Linked DNA regions of Coturnix japonica. The protein of the gene in region 1 purifies or fractionates together with the protein of each later gene. This does not show direct contact. Links are inferred from orthologs where the notes say so. Each region holds a gene or a part of one and is shown in the gene's direction. Other genes may lie near its edges.

Evidence for each region. The genes of interacting proteins can lie anywhere in the genome.
Region 2: the proteins of ACTR3B (region 1) and ARPC5L purify together in Homo sapiens (affinity purification with mass spectrometry; 3 studies listed by BioGRID and IntAct, counting the BioPlex papers as one, with this or other methods). This does not show direct contact. The link is inferred for Coturnix japonica from reciprocal best matches to the Homo sapiens genes ACTR3B and ARPC5L.
Region 3: the proteins of ACTR3B (region 1) and ARPC1A purify together in Homo sapiens (affinity purification with mass spectrometry; 5 studies listed by BioGRID and IntAct, counting the BioPlex papers as one, with this or other methods). This does not show direct contact. The link is inferred for Coturnix japonica from reciprocal best matches to the Homo sapiens genes ACTR3B and ARPC1A.

What each region holds. Positions count from the first base shown.
Region 1 is NC_029517.1:6,049,034-6,055,317, forward strand, and holds the start of ACTR3B (actin-related protein 3B), read left to right. Parts: upstream 1-2,231; 5' UTR 2,232-2,364; coding exon 2,365-2,408; intron 2,409-6,284. UniProt on the Homo sapiens protein: Plays a role in the organization of the actin cytoskeleton.
Region 2 is NC_029532.1:8,068,645-8,074,915, reverse strand, and holds the start of ARPC5L (actin-related protein 2/3 complex subunit 5-like protein), read left to right. Parts: upstream 1-2,826; 5' UTR 2,827-2,874; coding exon 2,875-3,014; intron 3,015-3,434; coding exon 3,435-3,507; intron 3,508-4,026; coding exon 4,027-4,203; intron 4,204-5,937; coding exon 5,938-6,000; 3' UTR 6,001-6,271. Other genes in the region: PPP6C (serine/threonine-protein phosphatase 6 catalytic subunit), read left to right, coding at 1-8, 888-967, 1,109-1,318, 2,144-2,392. UniProt on the Homo sapiens protein: May function as component of the Arp2/3 complex which is involved in regulation of actin polymerization and together with an activating nucleation-promoting factor (NPF) mediates the formation of branched actin networks.
Region 3 is NC_029529.1:4,391,266-4,397,334, forward strand, and holds the start of ARPC1A (actin-related protein 2/3 complex subunit 1A), read left to right. Parts: upstream 1-2,624; 5' UTR 2,625-2,757; intron 2,758-3,145; exon of another isoform or gene 3,146-3,247; intron 3,248-3,553; exon of another isoform or gene 3,554-4,466; intron 4,467-5,436; 5' UTR 5,437-5,454; coding exon 5,455-5,518; intron 5,519-6,069. UniProt on the Homo sapiens protein: Probably functions as a component of the Arp2/3 complex which is involved in regulation of actin polymerization and together with an activating nucleation-promoting factor (NPF) mediates the formation of branched actin networks.

The sequences.
Region 1 (6,284 bases):
CTCACAGGCAGGGTGTTCTGTTCCATCCTTTGAATCATTTCTGCATCTCTCCTTTGATGTACTCCAACAGGTCTATGGCTCTCCTGTACTGAGGACTCCACACTTGGACACAGTACTCCAGGTGAGGCCTCACCAGCACAGAGTGGAATGTATAGCCACAATAGTTTCCTGGTTCTCCATGGTCTTGTCTCTATGCTACTTGACTGTGGACAGATATTTTCTTCTGGATCCAGCTGGAACAGCTCAAAATATTACAATGATTGATCCAATCCCATCCCTTCCCCTCTGCTAACAAAGCAATTTGAATGCTCCCTAACCCTCTTCAGGCATAATTGACTAGATTAGTGCACAGCACCTACTTAAACTGTTTGAACTATCTCAGCTGATCCTGCTTGAAGTGGGTTAGGAAGCACTACAGCAAACAGCTGGGAGAGCCAGGGGGTAGTAATCAATGCCCCAGGGATGGCAATAAACATCTTGAGAAGAAAAAGGGCAGAGCACAAATGTTTCAAACCTCTGCAGCTGTTTGCAAATTGAATTTCTACATGCAGCCTGCAGGCTACGTGTGAACTATCACAGTATCTCCTCTTCCAGATGAAGCTTTCTTCTCAGCCATCGCAGCTGGGGGGTGGGGGTGGAAAGGGAACTTGAGAATGGTAGGAAATATTACAGAAATGTGCCTATGTAGCATATGAGCGTGTATTCTCTAAACATAGCATATTGTGCGACAGCATGTGAGAGGGGGGATTTTGGCCAAGGATGTCAAAGAATTCTTCTTCTTTCTTTTTTTTTTTCTCCTTTCCTGTTGGATCCCAATGCAGTGCCTTTAATGCATCATTCAGACTTGACTGCAGAAGAAGCAGATGATTTCCATCCACCTTGAATCCCCAATCCTTGGGTGCACTTATTAGAGCCTGCCTGTTAAGCTGTCTCAGCACACTGATAAGGGAGCCTTTCCAACACACAAACTGGGCTGGCTTCCACCATGCTCTGTTATCTTCCAAAATTTCTATGGGGACCAGTGTGAGCAAATATGTCGAGTGAATGAGCTCGGTGTGGGGTAAATGGCTGAATAAACCCCACAGGCATCCGCAACACTCTACAGTTATTGCACCAAAGATGGCATTTCTGAGGACCAGGGGATATATTCTCATTGTTTCATATAAAGCCTGTTTCTGTGTGAGCAACACAGCAGTGCTCGACTGGGAGGGGCTGATAAAAAGCAACACCCCCATGGTTAATAAATGTATCCCTGTGGTTAACACAGGGGTCAAAGCATCTGCAAGGCCTATTTCTGGTGCTGTTACCATGCACTCATAGCATGACCACGGCTGAGTCACGTATGAGGAATCATAATCGTATATGTAAATAGGATGTCAACAACTTTGCAGGTGATGTTTGTTGCAGCTTATTATTTTTGTTTTCTCAAATGCTTTGAGAGTTGGGTATTAATTCAGTGTATTCTGGGTCTGCTTGTAGCCAGCTCAGGGGATATGCAGATATGCAGGCTGTGCTGCACCCACCTGCACCCAGAGGAACACAATTAGTATTTTCATGATTGAATGGTTAAATGCTGGCGGGGCAAACCCCACCACCACTCAGACGTGACCTGTGAGGTGAGCCTTGCTCTGAGGGACACCAGCATCTGCAGTGTTTGCTGGGGTGTGGTGAACTCTTTCTCCTTCTCTTAACTCTGCTGTGTCCTTTGTGGCCATGGGAGGCTTAAAAGAAGTTTTCCTTCTCTTACTCTGCTGTGTCCTTTGCGAGGTTTAAAAGAAGTTTTTAACCCAATAAATGTATATTTGGTCATTGTGTACTCGCTCAGTGACGGTTACCCCTCTGAGGGTTGTGATCAATGGTGCACAATCAACACAAGGAAGAACTCCACTGTCAGAGGGCAGAGCATTGGAACAGGCTGCACAGAGAGGTTATGGGGTCTCCTTCTCTGGAGATATCCAAGGATATCTCTGGAGATATTCCTGCTCAGACTGCAAGATCTCCAGAGATCCCTTTGAATCCCTACTATTCTGTGATGCCCCAAACAACGCTACAACACTGCTGACTTAAACACCGTTCAGCAACTTCATTCACTGTGTTCTGAAGCCCATGACAAGGGGATGAGGTGAGGAGAAAGTCCCTCCCTCAGCCATCCTCGCGGGCACACCGCCCCCTCCTAAGATGGCCGCCAAGAGCCCAAGGCGGCCGGTCACGTCACGTAGTGCCGGTGGGCGGCGCATGCGCCTTGTAGGCAGCGCTGCCAGGCGGCTGCATGGTGCCCGCCGCCCCTCCGGCTCCCATGCAGTGAGGCCGGGCCGGGGGGGAGCCGGCTGCGGGCTGTGTGCGGTGTAGGGCCGGCTCCCCAGCATGGCGAGCTACCTGCCGCCCTGCGTGATAGACGGAGGCACCGGGTGAGTGTGGGGAGCGGGGGGGGACCGGCGGTCACAGCCTTTTTGGCGACGTGTGTGTGACGGGGGGGGGGGGGGGGGTGCTGTGTCCCAACGAGCCCGTTTCTCCTCTTTTCCGTTCTTTGACTTTACAACGATCCAAGGACTTAAATGCTAAACGTGGGAATGACATTTGGAACGTCCGTGAGGAGAAAGATCTATACTTACCCTGCCTGGGCAAGTAATGTACTGTAACTTATTCTATAACCTATGCAGTGTTTAGCCAAACCACGAGTTTTGTAACTTGTCATTGTGAGGAGTGAATCTGAACTGCAGAGGCTGTGCTGGGCGTTTGGCTTTGCAGAGGGATAGATCTTAACTACCTGTCTGTGTCTAGTGAGGACCGCCAGCTTCTGATGGGTCTGTTGGTGCTGCTGTTGTGCCTCAGGAGTGGGAGGTGACCGAGGGAGCTGTGATGGAGATGCTGGAGATGCACTGCACTCTTTTCTTTGGCCCTGCAGTGATCGAAAGCTCTCAGGAAGAGAAAAGACAGTGGTACATGAGTTCAGCTGGTAACTTCGCATGTCAGGCTGTGCTTTAGGGTCAGCAATTTCATTTACTGATGGCAAGAATAGCCCTTCCTTCTGCAGGGAATTGGTTGCACTGTTTTGGTTCAGGTGATGCCTGGAAATTTCTCTTTAAAATTTCCAAATTTTAAGCTATTGTATGAAAACCAAAAGGAAAAGAAAGATAACTTAAAAAAGAAGTGATAGGTAACCAGAGCAACCCATTTAGCTGATGGGTTCACCACCTTCTGTAAAAGGATTTTGTATTTTGAAGTTTATTAAGCTGTGACAAAACTTTCACAAGTCTCTCGTGCTGTCTCTGCTTATATGACCTGAAATCAGTTCAGTCTCCTCAGTGGAGAATACTGGAGTCCACAGCTGAAAGCTCTGGGAGTAGAACAGAGAATGGGTTCCATCTTGTATGTAATTCTGCCTGTCTGATATTCCATGGTAATTTCCCATGTATAAATCCCAAAGAGATTTTAAGTATCTGTTCTGCAAGGAACTTTGGTGTTTCAGGAATGTTACTTCACAGAATTGAAGAGCTTTTCTTGGGGAAAGGGGAACTCTAGGTAAGTCCTTTAGAAAAGATATGCTATGAACTGCCAAATCCAGAACGTGCACAAAATATGTCTGTCTGTCCTTTGTAGGAGCTGGAATCTGTGTGTATACAGGTATAGTACCTTGTTTCAGAAAGGGTTCAGACAGCCCACAAGTGGACTTGTTATTTCCATGCCTCCAAGTGATCTTAATAGGTGTGAGACCTATTCGAAAGGGCTGACAATAGCAGGACACGGGGAAATGGTTTTAAGTTGAAAGAGGGAAGATTTAGGTTGGATGTTAGGGGAAAGTTCTTCTCTAGGAGAGTGGTTATGCTCTGGAACAGGCTGCCCAGGGAGGTTGTGGATGCCCCGTCCTTGGAGGTGTTCAAGACCAGGTTGGACGGGGCCCTGGGCAACCTGATCTAGTAAAGGTGTATGTTTGGTGGCCCTGCCAGGCAGGCGGGTTGGAACTACATGATCCTTGAGGTCCCTTCCAACCCGGGTCATTCTGTGATTCTGTGAGACAATGTGGTGTCTCTGCTGATGGGACTTTATCTGAAGTAAATCATCTTGCAGAACAAGAAGACGTAAGATTCTGCTCCAAGCAGCCAGAATTAGCTTGACTCACTGATCCAGTCTCTGGAATTTTCCTCTGTGTGGGTTGAAAACCTTCTTATTGTTAGAATGAATCTACTTTGCGTTGCTGGCTTGGAACAATTCATTCAAATGATTCATGTAAAGGCTTTCAGCTGAAAAACTTGGAAGAGCATTACGGAAACAGCAAGGTGTGTGCAGATGCACTGTGGTATATTTTGTGCATGAGAAGAAAAATGCATTTGCAAATGGAACATCCCACTCTGGTTTTGATGCACTACGTCTTTGTTTTCTCTGAGTGAGGTTTTCCTGGTGATCAGCTTATGTGTTGCTGTCAGTCCTCATGTGCAGAAGGACATGCTATTTTTAGGGCCTTCGCAGTACCAGGCCTCTCTGGTGTTGCTGTTCCAAGAGGCTTTAAACTTGGTGGCTGGTTTTATTAATTGGCATTTAGCTGTGGGACATCAGCACTCCACTAAGTGGGTGGGCGGAACGGAGGTGGCTTAAAATACTGCTCTTCATCTTCAGGCATCGAGGAATGCTTCTATTTTTAGGTGTATTTTATTCAAGTGATTTTTATTTTAGTAAGGAAAGCCGACTTTGGCCAAGCGTTACTGATCAGCTTATAAGTAAATACTTGATTTCTGGGTGAAGTGAGCTCTACTTGTCTTAAAGCTTGAAACTTGAGGGGTTGTTGTTGCTTTTGCCATTAAAGTTGGCCGGAACCTTGCAATGCTTTTTCTTATTATTGTATTTCTGATGTGAAATGAGTTGTTCCGTGCAAGTATTATTATCTCTGCTCTTTACACGTGAGACGTGCACAGCTACGTTTCTAATTGCTGTTCTGGGTGTAAGGAGGATGGGTTAATGAGCTGTTATTTATAATCACAGGCTTCAGTCCTGGTCCTACCAGTCTCTCCCAAAGCTATGGCTCTAATTTGCAGTTTATTAATGTAGAGGTTGGTGATGCTTCTCTATACATTGTGCAGACATGGCTTTTCCTATTATTTTCTACTGCATTCTTTCTTCATTCCTATTCCTTCCTCACATCCTCCTTCATTCCTAAAGTGCATCTCCACATCTTTATAAGGACTTCGCGTTTGGAGTTTCTCAGGGATATCTGTAATAATGATACTGCTCTTCCTTAAGGCCTTTTGGTGTTCTCAGTAGTTCTGTCTCTTCAGAGCTCGTTTGTGGATCTGACACGTTGCTTCTTGGTTTCCATCTTTAAAACAATAAAACTAAAGAAATTCGGAAATGTTCAAACTTAGAACTGTGGGGCTACGTAACAGTTTGGGTTAGAAGGCACCTTAAAGCTTATCCAGTTCCAGCCCCTTGGCATTAGCAAGGACAACTCTCCCTTAGGCCCACCCAGCCCTGAGCACATCCAAGGATGGGGCAGGGATGCTCTATGGGCAGCTATGCCATGATCTCTCTGCCCTCATCGTGAAGAGTTTATCCTACTGTCTAATCTAAAACTACCCCCATTCAGGTTAAAATCATTCCCCCTTGTCCTATCCTTATGCTCCATCTACTGGAACACGTTCCTACTGATCTTTAATGCCGTCTTCAATATGGTATGTTTTGTAGAGTTTCCAGTAGGTTCCTATCTCGCTGGCAATAAATCTGCTACTTTTAATGAAATTGGAATACTGATTATCTGCACGTTCCCTAAAGCCTTCTCTGTAATTTACAGAACACGAGATGTTGCATTACCATTAGTCTTCTAGGCTGTAGCCCAGGAGAAAGAAACAAATGTGTTTTCAGATCCTTAAATATTCATTGGAAAAGGAGCTGGAGACCAGGTAACCTGCCTAACTATTTACATCCAGACCTTCAAGGTTGATGAATATTCAAGTGCTTTGTATGAAGGCAAACAATGTCTGTAGCAGGTCCTGAAAGTGGGTCACCCAACCACTCTAATGTACTGCCCTGGATGATGGAGTGCCCAGGAGCAGAGAAGTTCAGGCAATGATAAAATCAGTCAGTAAGATACCAAACGATCAGCTTCAGATAGTGACAAATCAAATCAGTAAGACACTGAGCTATCAGCTTTTGGTGCCTTTGTAAGTTATCCTAGCAGCGGGATCTGATTCCAGCTTGAGTGGTAAGGTAACGCCACGATAGACTGATACCCCAAATTGACTCTTTCTGGGTGTTTTGCCTTTGAAACCATGATTGAATTTGTGTCTGACAAG
Region 2 (6,271 bases), on another chromosome or scaffold:
ATTCTATGGTAAGACTTTACCCAAGTGATTTCTGAATGGGGGCCAGCATGCCATCAACAACTACCTCCTATTTCCCTTTTGAAATCGGCTTTGTGTGTGCACTGTTAAGTGGGGCTTTACTTGAACTGGGTGGGAAACGGTCTCAAATGTTATTTAACACTGTTGTGTTCAAGAAGTAAAAGCGTTTTAGTCCATCTCCAGACCATCTTTTCCTCCAGCATCTCAGTTTTTCTTTGCATTTTTTGATGATATGCTTTGGTATCTTTAAATAAAAGATTCTACATAATTCTCTTTAGGTATAACTGAGAAAAGCATTGTCATATATAGGCTGTAATTTGCTTTCTTCTGGATAACATGATATAGTGTGTCAACAAGAGCATATATAAACATTTGTAAGCCTCGTGAAGCTCCAAAGTAAAATTTGTCCATCAGTTTTATTGATGTGTTTGTATAGCTACAAACAAAGCTACTGTAACACTTATTTGTAGTGAAAAGGTCTCTAATTAGCCCTGATGGGTTCACTGTTTCTGCCTCACTTCTCTTGCATGAAATGTAGAGTATAAACACTGCTGGGTGAGCAGGGGGGCTGTTCCCAGGCAGTCAGTGGTGGGAAGATGCTGAGGTGCTGTCTGTCGTGTTGCTTTTTCCTCTGTCTGTTGCTGAAGACACAGCAGTAGATACTGAGGTTCTCTCCCTGCTGGTGGACCACAGAAGCAGTGAGCAGTGCTTTCCAGCCAGTGCTCACCGGTTGCTCCCAGCTGTTTTTTATTTGTCTGTTTGCTTTTTGGTTTACATCTGCCTTTTTAGGTTCTGTTCTGTTTGACTCTGATCATATTGCCTGAATTCCTTCTGGTCTGTTAAGAAGAAAAAAATTCTCTATTTAACAGATGAGTGCCAAACCAAATACGGAAATGCTAATGCTTGGAGATACTGCACCAAAGTCTTTGACATGCTCACAATAGCAGCTGTAAGTGTAAACACCTTAAAAAAGATACAGGTAGATTGTCTAAATATAACTTGAAGAATTGGTGGTGGTGAGGGTGGTGCTGGAGAGGTTCTTGGTTTGGTTGAAATACTGAGCATTCTTTGTGTTCCTTTTTCTCTCCAGCTAATAGATGAGCAGATTCTCTGTGTGCACGGTGGATTGTCTCCGGACATCAAGACACTCGATCAGATTCGCACCATTGAACGTAATCAAGAAATTCCTCATAAAGGCGCCTTCTGTGACCTGGTTTGGTCTGATCCAGAAGATGTGGATACGTGGGCCATCAGTCCGCGAGGGGCGGGTTGGCTGTTTGGTGCTAAGGTGACAAATGAGGTAACGATGCCGTCCTGTGCTGCGTCCCATAATTGCAGGTGTGAGATGAAGTGTTTGACTTTACTGTAGTGACGAGTGGATTAAGGAACTTCCCTTGTGAGGGGACTGAGTTGGTGTGGAGGTGAGGGAGGTTTTCTCGTGACATACTCTTTTCCCCTCATAAAGTGCCAAGTGAGATAATGCACACCTTGTGTTTAAAAAGTGTAATGCAGTGAGACTAACTAGAATTACTAGGCTTTGTGTAGAATACTTGTCTAATGATTTGGAAGAAGAAATACTAGCTTTGACTTAATTTTTGTTACTTTGCAACATAGTAAGAGGCTCAGACCCACTGAACTTCCCAGGCTTCTGAACCGGCCCTAAGATGAATCCCTGCCTCATGCAGTGTGTTGTTCTCTGCTCCTCTGCAGCATATTCAGGAGGGATTGAAAGGCGTGGGCAGTGCAGGCCTAGGCACCACGGCTGTCACAGGCAGGAGTGTTTCTCACTGTTCAGGTTTCAAAGCCCAAAGTTGCCCTCTGTGCTCTGACAGGAGCGGTTTGCTCCCAGCACCATCAGCTCAGTCCCAGCTCTGTGGGGGTGCTGGGCACACATGGCTGGGGCCGCAGAGCTGTGCTGGGAGCACAGGGACACAGGGAGTGTCCTTAGCACAGCCTGCACCTCTCAGAGGCCTTGGGAAAACCTCCCGGGTGGGTCAGTGCTGTCAGCGCTGCAGAGCCCAGAGCTGAGCCCGGAGCTGGGCCCACACAGCGCTGAGGAGCTCTGCTGGGCAGCAGCTGCTGCGCGGCCACGCACAGAGCTGTGACACGCCACTTTTCTTTGCAGTTTGTCCACATCAACAACCTGAAGCTCATCTGCAGAGCACATCAGCTGGTTCACGAAGGCTACAAATTCATGTTTGACGAGAAGTTGGTAACGGTGTGGTCAGCTCCCAATTACTGCTATCGCTGCGGGAACATCGCTTCCATCATGGTCTTCCAGGACGTAAATACGAGAGAACCGAGGCTGTTCCGCGCCGTCCCAGACTCAGAGCGGGTGATCCCTCCCCGGACAACCACCCCCTACTTCCTCTGAGCCGCCCCCGCCCTACAATATACTTTTTATTGAGCACTTTGCTGCTGAGATGCCGCCTCTGCCTTTTATCTTTAACTTATCGCCGTTCGTTGTCATTGCGCTGCGCAGCCGTTTCCCCGCCCTCCCCCGGATCCATTTGTGCGGATCCGAACCGCTCGTTGTTCGTTTCTCCGCTGAGCGGCGCCGTTCGGCTGCTCCCGGTGCTCCGTGCGGCTCCGTTCGTCTCCCGTAGATGTACGAGATTTCAGCAGCAAAGTTCCGCGGCCGTTGGTGCCGCCGCCCACTTTGTAATTAAAGGCTCGTTGTGGTTTTTCAGCGCCGTGTCGCTCCGTGGCGCCGGACGGGACGGGACGGGACGGGACGGGACGGGGGGGCGCACTCCGCTCCGCTCCTTCCTGCTCCGGGCGGGGCGGGCTCCGCGCTTCCGGTTCCGGCGGAGCGGCGGGGGAGGTTCCGGTTCCGACGGTTCCGGTTCCGTCGGCATGGCGCGGAGCACGCTCTCGTCCCGCTTCCGCCGCCTGGACATCGATCAGTACGACGAGAACCGCTTCGTGGAGGAGCCCGAGGAGGCGGCGGCGGCCGAACCCGACGCGAGCCCCGAGGTGGAGGCGCTGCTGAGGCAGTATCCTTCATGGCGGCACGGCCACCGAGCGCTGCCCGCGGGGCCTCGGGAAGGTTTGCGGGGCGGGAGCGCGGCCTGAGGCTGCTCGGTACTGCCCGGTGCTGCCCGGTATCGCCCGGTACTGCTCGGTACTGCTCGGTACTGCCCCGTACTGCCCGGTACTGCCCGGTGCTGGCTGGTATCGCCCGGTGCTGCCCGGTATCGCCCGGTGCCGCTCGGTGCTGCCCGGTGCTGCCCGGTGCTGCTCGGTGCTGCTTGGTGCTGCCCTCCGTGCTGCCCCCGGTCCCGTCCCTCCCCGCTGCCGTTGTGTGGCCGTAGTTCAGGTACCCGCTTTGCAGCGCCCTCCTCCCCTGCCCCCTCCCCTTATCGCTCCGTCCCGGTGCTCCCGGTGCCGCCGTTGCTCCTTGACTCTCGCCGTAGAGGCGAAGCGCTGCGCGCGCTGCACGCGGCCCTAAGGAACAACCCCGCACAGACGCGCAGCGCGGCCATGAAGGTGAGTGCGGCCCCGGGACCGGTAACGAGCGGCGCCCCCGGCGCTGACCTTGTGCTCCATGGCACCTCCCGTCCGTCTGCTCTTGAAGGACGGCGCTGCGGTTTGTGTGCGGGTGTCGCGGTGCTGCTGTAGGACGGCCCGGTGCTGCTGTGTGCCCGGGGAGCGGCCCGTGCTGTGGGGAAACGCGGCCGGCAGCAGCCGGGGGCTGAGAGGGAGCACAGAGCACAGCCCAGGGGATCTTGTGCTGCAGGAGCCGGACGTTGTTCGTTGTTCTCGGGCTGTAGGTTTGTTCTGCAGTGCAGTTCAGGTGGTTCCCCCCAGGTGGGAACACCAACAAGTCCAGTTTTAAAGCTCTCTGCTCTTCTTCCTTCTCACTACTGAAACTTAAAGTGTAAAACTTCCTCCTGTTTGGCTGCTGCATCTTCACACCATCAGCGCAGCCGCTGCTCCGAGTGCTTTGCTGCACTTGGGGTCACATCCAGCTTTGCTGATCCTAATGCCGTTTTCCTTCCTGTGCAGGAGCAGGCGCAGGGCACCATGCTCAGAGTCCTCACGTCTTTTAAGAGCAGTGAAATTGAACAAGCGGTGAACTCCTTAGACAGAAACGGGATTGACTTGTTAATGAAGTATATTTATAAAGGATTTGAAAAGCCGACAGAAAATAGCAGTGCAATATTACTCCAATGGCATGAAAAGGTGAGTGTTTGCTCTGGGCTCTGTTGTCACTGTCGGTGCTTTCAGGACCTCCTGGATGGGGAGGTGTGCGATGAGGGGGATCCTCCCTGAGGAGCAGAGCTCGGTGCTGCCTTTTGTTCTTGGCCTCTTGGTGTTGGGCGTATGGAGTTTCTGTGGTACTTCAGAGCTCTCCTCAGCCTGGAGGGATGGGAGGGGTGGGTGTGGCAGAGCAGCGTCAGCTGCAGGAAGGTTTATGACTTGTGTCTGGTGGTGGTTTCCCCCACAAGGAGCAGCAGCTGGGAGTGGAGGTGAGATTGATTGATTGATTGATTGAAGGTGCCTTTGGCTCATGGGGTGCCCAGGATGGCTCAGATGTGATGCTTTTTGTCAGTGAAACGCTGTGCTGAAGTACATCCGAGCTGACCAGTTATAGCAAACCTGCTCAGTTTGCACAGTAAAGGCTTTGATGCCTCAGTGGCACTTAGTGGCGTTTCTGTGGCAGGGTCGCAGCGAGGGGGGCTGTATGTGCTGTGCTCACAGCTGGCTGCTGGCCGGTCATTTGCACAGGGCGTGCTTCCTTGTGATGAGTTAAAACAAGTTGTGCAATGGTGACTCCAGCTCCTGGCAGCTGTCCCCAGCCTTGCAGAATATCGATAGGCAGGAGGGGGAGGAAATTGCACAGGAAGGAACATGTTTGTGCTTGACATTTTGTGTTGTTCTTCCTACTGGAGGCTCTTTTTGGGTCACCGTAGGTTGATACTCCCAGTACGTAACATTACACAAGACTGCCCTGACTGGAAAGAAGTCACTGCTCAGAACACGTAGACACGTGCAAGCATCTCTTCCCCTTTGTTTTCAAAGGAAAGCTGCAGTTGTGCAGTGTGCAGGGAGCTGCTTAGAGCTTTGTGTTCTGCTTTCCAGCAGTGCAGGCAGGACGTGCAGCTCACTCTGACTGTGGGCAGCAGCTCAGCAGCACCTGCCTGGCCCCTGGAAGGGCCTGATGCCATTTCTGCATCCGTCAGGTCTAATCTGAGCAGCTCCTCTGCGGCCCTCACTTACATGCATCTCCTCCTAGACTTTAGAAGAATGTTTCATTTTTATTAAGGATGCAAATGAAACCAGACTAAGCCCTTCCTCCTTTCCCCATTCAGGAGCAGGAGTGTAAGGTATTCTGCATCATCGGTGTCCTTCACTAGATGCAAGTCAGTTCATAAGGTTTTGTGTACTTTAGCCTTCAGATGTGGTGGGATGTGTTACAATGAGCTGTTTTGTCCACCCTTCATTTCCTTGCTTCTTAGATTTATAGCATGTTTAGAGAGTAGCGCTGTGTATGTACTGCAAAAACCTGGGTCAAAGAAGGAGCTCATCTGTACGTTCAGAGAGGACAGGGGGCATAGAGCTCCCGAGTTCATGGCCCAAGACAGGAACAGGCAAGGAGCTGAAATGTGGCAAAGGAATAAGTGTGTGAATGTAGAACTTGTTACTGCAGGAAGCTGAAGGTTTTAGCAGTGCAGAAGGTACCTGCACAGGTACAGAGGGGTGGAACAACTTGAGAACTGATGCTCTGGTTGTAGCAATTAGCATAAAACATTGCTTAGGAGTTAACAAATACAGCGTGCGCTTTGTGTGACGGAACACACAAGTTGTACCAGCAGAACCACTGCCAGCCCTGCAGGCTGCTAAGAACAATGAAGGTTTCATCGTAAGCCGTGTGTGACTGTAGAACTGATCTTGTCTCCTTCTCCCACCCCACAGGCATTAGCAGCAGGTGGACTAGGTTCCATAGTAAGAGTTCTTACAGCAAGAAAGACTGTTTAAAGACTATTAACTCGAAGCAAGACAACCATCAGTTTTGGACCCAGAAGAAGGAAGTAGCTGAAGTGATGCTGGTCCATCTTGATTAGAGATTCCAATCTACTGAAATACTATGGAAACCTCCTCTTGGACTGCTTTTAACATTAAAGGTGGGAAAAGAGTAAAGGTATTCCTGTATATTCTGACTATCACGTACAGGAGCCAAGACATTCTCCTGCTTGCTTCTTTTAAGGCAGAGAGAAGGCAAACTCCTGCCTCCTACTACTGAAAGTGA
Region 3 (6,069 bases), on another chromosome or scaffold:
TGAGGCAGTGCTTAAAACAGCTGGGTACAATTTCACTGTCAATCTAAAAAGAAAAAGCAATAAATATTGCCACTGTTTCTTTTCTCTGGAAAGCAGGTTAACAGCAGGGCAGGTACTGCTGAGCATTGCACACTGGACACTTAGTTCTAAAGATGGGAACTTGGAGCCCCAGCCCTACCAGCTTGAGCACGGAGGCTCCCATCTTCTCTGACAGGAAGGAAAAAGCAGTCAGCATTGAGCTTATCATTACCTAGAAAGCCAGTATGCAAGAAGACCACTCAGTAAGCCTGATCAATATGCAGTCTGCCTTCCTTCTTATTTTGTGTCACAACCATTGCACAAATTATATGAAGTTCTAACAATTGTCACACATAACATTGTTTTAAGATGCAAAATAACCAACAAAAACAAAGCAGGACAATTGGATACAGGGACTTATCATGCTTTAAACTCATGAATTTGCAGTTCTTTCAATCGGTGACTTCATCTGACCTTAAGGCAAACACTCATCATAATTCAAGAGTATTTCTGATGAGAATCAATCTTGATAAATAGTGACCTAAATGGCAGTTCTAGGACTGCAGAGGATGCAATTAGGAAAATATGACCTTTCATGTGTCCCCCTTTTAAGCATCAGATATGATATAATGCTCAGTGTCAGGAATTGCTACGTTTTCCAGTAGTGAGATGAATAACACACATCTCAAAGGCCTCTCAAACTAAGCACTGTTATCTGCAAATACCCTTTTGTTACATAGCATCTTACTTTTTGAGTAGCTGTTACCAACTGTATGCCCTTGCATACAAAACAATGTCCCAGCTCCTCCTGGCCTCCCCCCCCCCAAGTATATCCTAAGGTCATACTACTATACTACTTTTATTACAATCAGTTTGATTTGGCTTGCAAGGCCTTAATCTCCAAAACATTGGCATCCTTTCTGGATTACCACAGTTAAATTGCACCAGCAATACCACAGGAACAAAGGTGGAACGTACTCTGGAAAGCTATGCTGAAGATGAAGCCTTTAATGCTTAAAAGCTCTGCAGAGTTCCTCATTTAGATACTTTCACCCCATCTGCTGAAAATGGTTTTGAAAACATAAAGCCATGCTTAAAGTCAATTTCATTCCCGTTATGTAACGTTACTTGGCCTAGTTGAGCATCCTTAATCTGTGCAGCTGAACTAGTTTTATCGTTAAGCCAATAAGGGCTGCAGCCATTACGTATCTCAGGGCTGAAGAACCACAGCAGCACCGGTTTAGGAGCCCATTAAGCAAAGTCTCCTTCCTGAATGAAAGACCTTCCATTGTACTTCACCCATTGTGAGAAATATTTGTCTGATCTATTCTTAAAACCTCTAAGAAAAGCCTCCATGTTGCCTAGTCATCTGCCTGCTACTTTAGCTTATGGCTCCTCACCCTACTACCCCCAATGGACATGAGAGAACAAATCGTCCCTTCCCTCATGGCAGCATCCTTTTATCTATTTGAAGACTTACGTCTGTGGCTCTGTTCCCTCCAGCTCTGTAACAGTCATGTGTTCAAAGACTGAGCATTATTTTTACCCTTTTTCCTCTAAATCACACACATTTTGCTCACATGGAGCCCAGCACTGGACACACCGTTTTAGCACAGCTCAGCATGGCAGGATGCCTGTATCCTATTAGCACTATACAGACCTGCATGGCATTCACTGCTCTAACAGCAGGACATTGCTATTCAGCTTGCAGCCCACAGCAGCTCCTCCATCCCTTCCTATAACACACAGCTGCCTTTCCTAACACCAATACAACCAGCCCCACAGTTATAAGCACACAGTACTACCTGATGCTTTTTCCCATTGAGTTCCCCTCTTTGCATTCTAGCCCTCTGACAGTGCATTAATACAAGCTCAGACTTGACCCCATCTCCAAACACAGCAATTACAGGGGCTGTTTCATTATAAATGAATAATGGACCGAAGGTATTTCCCCAGACAAGCGCTGACACCAAGTACATTGTACCCCAACCAGCTCTACCATGCTGGACACAGCTTGCCTTGCTCCCTCCATCCACCGAGGCACAGCATGCCCCCCTCACACAGCCATAGAGCCCTCTTACACCTATAGACCCCCCTCACACAGCCATAGACCCCTCTTACACCTATAGACCCCCTTCACACAGCCATAGACCCCTCTTACACCTATAGACCCCCCCCTCACACAGCCATAGAGCCCTCTCACACCTATAGACCCCCCTCACAAGCCAGCACAAAGACGCCTCTTTACACTCTTACTATAACTTCCCCTCTCAGCACCTATAGGAGCCCCTCAACACAGCTATAGACCCCTCAACAACAGCCCATAGACCTCTACACCTATAGACCCCCTCACACAGCCATAGAGCCCTCTTACACCTATAGACCCCCTCACACACAACGTGAAGCCCCCCCCATCTGTGCCACATCCCCACACTGCGCATGCGCCCCCAACCCGCCCGCCGCCTTTGTGTGCGGCACATTCCTCCCTCCCCCCCGCGCATGCGCACAACGCCTTCCCGTCACGCCCCGACACCCCCCTCCCCGTCAGCATGGCGCATGCGCATCCCGCGGGGTTGGCCGGCGGGCGGCGCGCATGCGCAGTGCGCGTTTCCTGGCTCCCTTGTCAGTGCCGGGCCGCCCCCCTTTCCCACCCCTCCCCTCGGCCGCCGCCGCCGCCCGGAGCGGAGTCGCGTTGACTGCCCAGAGTCCGCGAGCCCCGCTCCGCCCCCGCAGCCTCAGGTGAGTCCCGGCCCCGACCGAACGGCTGGCCGCCCTCAGGCCCAGCTGCTGAGGGGGCGGCGGCTCTGCAGCACTCAGCCGCGGCCTGCCCGCCGTGCGGGGCCCGTACCCGGCCCTGTGCTCATAGAGGGGCGGGTGGGCCGGGAGAGGGGGCGGCGGGGCAGCTCCGTCCTTGTCCGCACCGCACAGCGGCCTCAGCACCGGGCACCTGTGTGGGACGGCACCGCCCGGCTGAGTGCGGCCACCGCCCCGACGGGAACGGGCCGATATGACAGCGGGGGGAGGCAGCGATCAGTCACAGGCAGCTCTGGAAATAGGCAGAGATTTACAGCAGCTCTCACACTCACACTGTCTGTAATTTGGAAGCATCTCCTCGCTGTCTCCTTACCTCGTGCTTCTCGAGAGGTGACAGCAGCTCAGTCCTGGGCTTCTCAGGGCTGAGTTTCTGAGGGGCTGTGTGGGTGAGCAGGAGGAATTTTGGCACCCTGCCCTTAAAAGAAAATATTGAAACAAGGACAATTAGTTTGCATTTGAAAGGAAGCTCTATCTACCTAACAAAGTTACCTTGACAGTGCCTTTCCTATGTTAAATCCTGAGCTTGGCAGACAGGAGAACACTGTGGGGTTTATGCTGTATTGGTTACATCAAGTCATTCAGCCACTGATAAGAAATAAATCTTCATAAGATCTTACAAACAGTATTTATCTCCCCAAAGGAAATAATATTGCAACGATCAGATGGCAAATATTTGTGCTCTTTGAGATTGTCATCACTGTTCTTTCTTAATGAACATTACCTGCTTGCTGTGAGTTGTGGTGCTTGAGAAGGATGAGGATGCATCATGTCCCTTGTCCAGCTGTAAGCTTTGGGAACAGCCTGTAGGTTAGTGAGCAAAACAATCTCTGAACTAGGAGCTGTTAGGATGGGACAGCAGTGTTTGTACAGGGAGCCAATCTGTGCAGAAAGCACGAGGACTGCATTAGAAATAGCTGCATTCTTCAGGCAGCAGAGATTGGATAGTTTTACTTTGTATTTGGAAAGAATCAAAAAGGCTGAGCATTCCCTGTTGGTAGAAGAGCTCGTCAGCTTTTCTTGTATATGGAAATGCACTGCTACTGAATTGCTGGCATGTATTAAAGCAAGACTGGGGAAAAAGCAATTTGCTGTGATGTTTTGCTTATGTTAATGCATGGAATCTCACACCATAGCTGCCCAAGGTCAGAGGTAACTTGGATCATGGCAGTTCTCTCACATTAATAAAAATAAGTAATTATTCTTCTGAGGGCTGTACTCAAATAGCAGCTTTATGTGATCTTTAGCATATGATTATTAGAAGAAAATTAGAACAGTTACAATTATGAACTGGACTTAAAATGAAGTTCAGCTAAATGAGCTTTGAGTACATTTAATGACACTGCAGATCATGGCTTTCATATATAATATAGATTACTATATATATATATATATGAACAGTGCTGCATCATCTCTACTCAGGACTTTAGGCATATTTCTTAAAGCAGGGGAGTGCTCAGCTCTGTAAGGGGTTACTCATCTCTCATTCACTCCTGAGTTTCTGTGGGACTGCCGTTCATTTCCTGTTTGCTTCCAAATTCCTACCTTGTCCTGAAGTCTCCACCCTCTGCTAACATGGCCATACTTGGCTATGTTGTAATTTCAGGCTGCGATGGGTGTGGATGTCTTGGAGTGACATCACAGAGATGGTGCTTTTTAGATGTATGCAGTGGGGCAGACCGACAACGTGCCATCAGCCATGGATAAATTGCTACAAAAGTTTGTTTAATATGTGAAAGGAGGAAGAAATGGACAAATCCAAGTTGTGTGTGTTGAGCTGTGCACATTGCAGCTGTTGCAGGTGACCTTGAGTTGTTACAGTGCTACCTTCCATCCGTTTATGCTGTCCTTGATTAACACAGGACACAGAAATAAGATCTGATATATTAAACAGCTTCGCAGTCACCTGTTTGCACTGTCTCTTTCATAAGAGAAAAGAAAAAACTGGGTGTCTCACTTTGTATGAAACAAAGCATTCACAAACCCAAAGAATTCAATTTGATCTTTTACTGTTTGAGTCTCATAAGGATGGAAGCCATAAAGCAATTAATTGTTAGGATTAATTTGAAGGAATTAGTAATTAATTACTGATGTTAGTAGTTTTTCCCTGGGATACACATAAGTAGTTTTATCAAGCAACACATCAGCAGATTACAGTCACATCTGAGCACATCAGCTTAACCTCCTGATGGATGGAAAAGAAAAAGGCTTCATTGAGGCTCACAGCACTACAATACACACCAGAATGTCAAATCAGTTCACTGAGACATCACTGAATTTCTTATTTAAGTATTCTAATTCCCCAGTTAAATTCTTAGGTGTGTTAATTTCATAAGAACCTGTTTCCTCTTATGAGGATACAGGAAGAAACAAGTGCATACACCTTTTAGAGCAATTCATTGACCTACTAAAGATCTTGGGGCACACAGGGAAAGGTCTTAATTACAATGACACATGCACAGTAGATAGATCATCATAGTGGACTGAAGCAGCCTTTGTAGATGTTCAAGACCGATTTGTTTTTATAACTGTTCAACTTTGAAGTGCTTTGTTGTCATTTTTACATCTTTACGTTTTTTTTCCCCCCCCCCAACTTTTACAACATAGGAATATCTTTAACTCGGAATGTCTCTACATCAGTTCTTATTGGAGCCAATCACCTGCCATGCATGGAACAGAGACCGTACTCGTAAGTAACCTTTTCATTTACTTTTTCAACCGCTCTTTTCTCTGTGCTGTCAATCGGATCATCTTGAAACCTTCTGGACCACATTCAAGAAAGATGTGGTCAAATACATAACGCTGCACTTATAACCCAAAAAGCACATTACATTCCTAAATCTGGTTTTGATTTTTAGACCCTCTTTTGAAACTTTGACATGTGAGCAAACCCAGTCTTAGTGGAGCTCCAGAAAGTCTTGCCTTGGTCTTTACTTCATGAGAACATGACTTATCTCATACTCTTTAACCTCTTATTTCCCAGCCCCAAACCCAGCCTTTTCTTTTTATATATAGTCTTCTACTGAAGAAGGATAGTTATATTCTAAATGCACTGTCTTTCTGTTCAGTGTACTCACAATTGTGTTACAACCATCATTATTTGATATTATCCAGCAGGGATGTTAGCCCATCATTTACAAGGCCTATGTACTCTTAACTTTCAGAGCATTACAAGTTTTAGACTGAGAAGTTTTCCCCAAGTAAAAAGATATTAAAAAGAGCTTTCTGTACTAATGGACT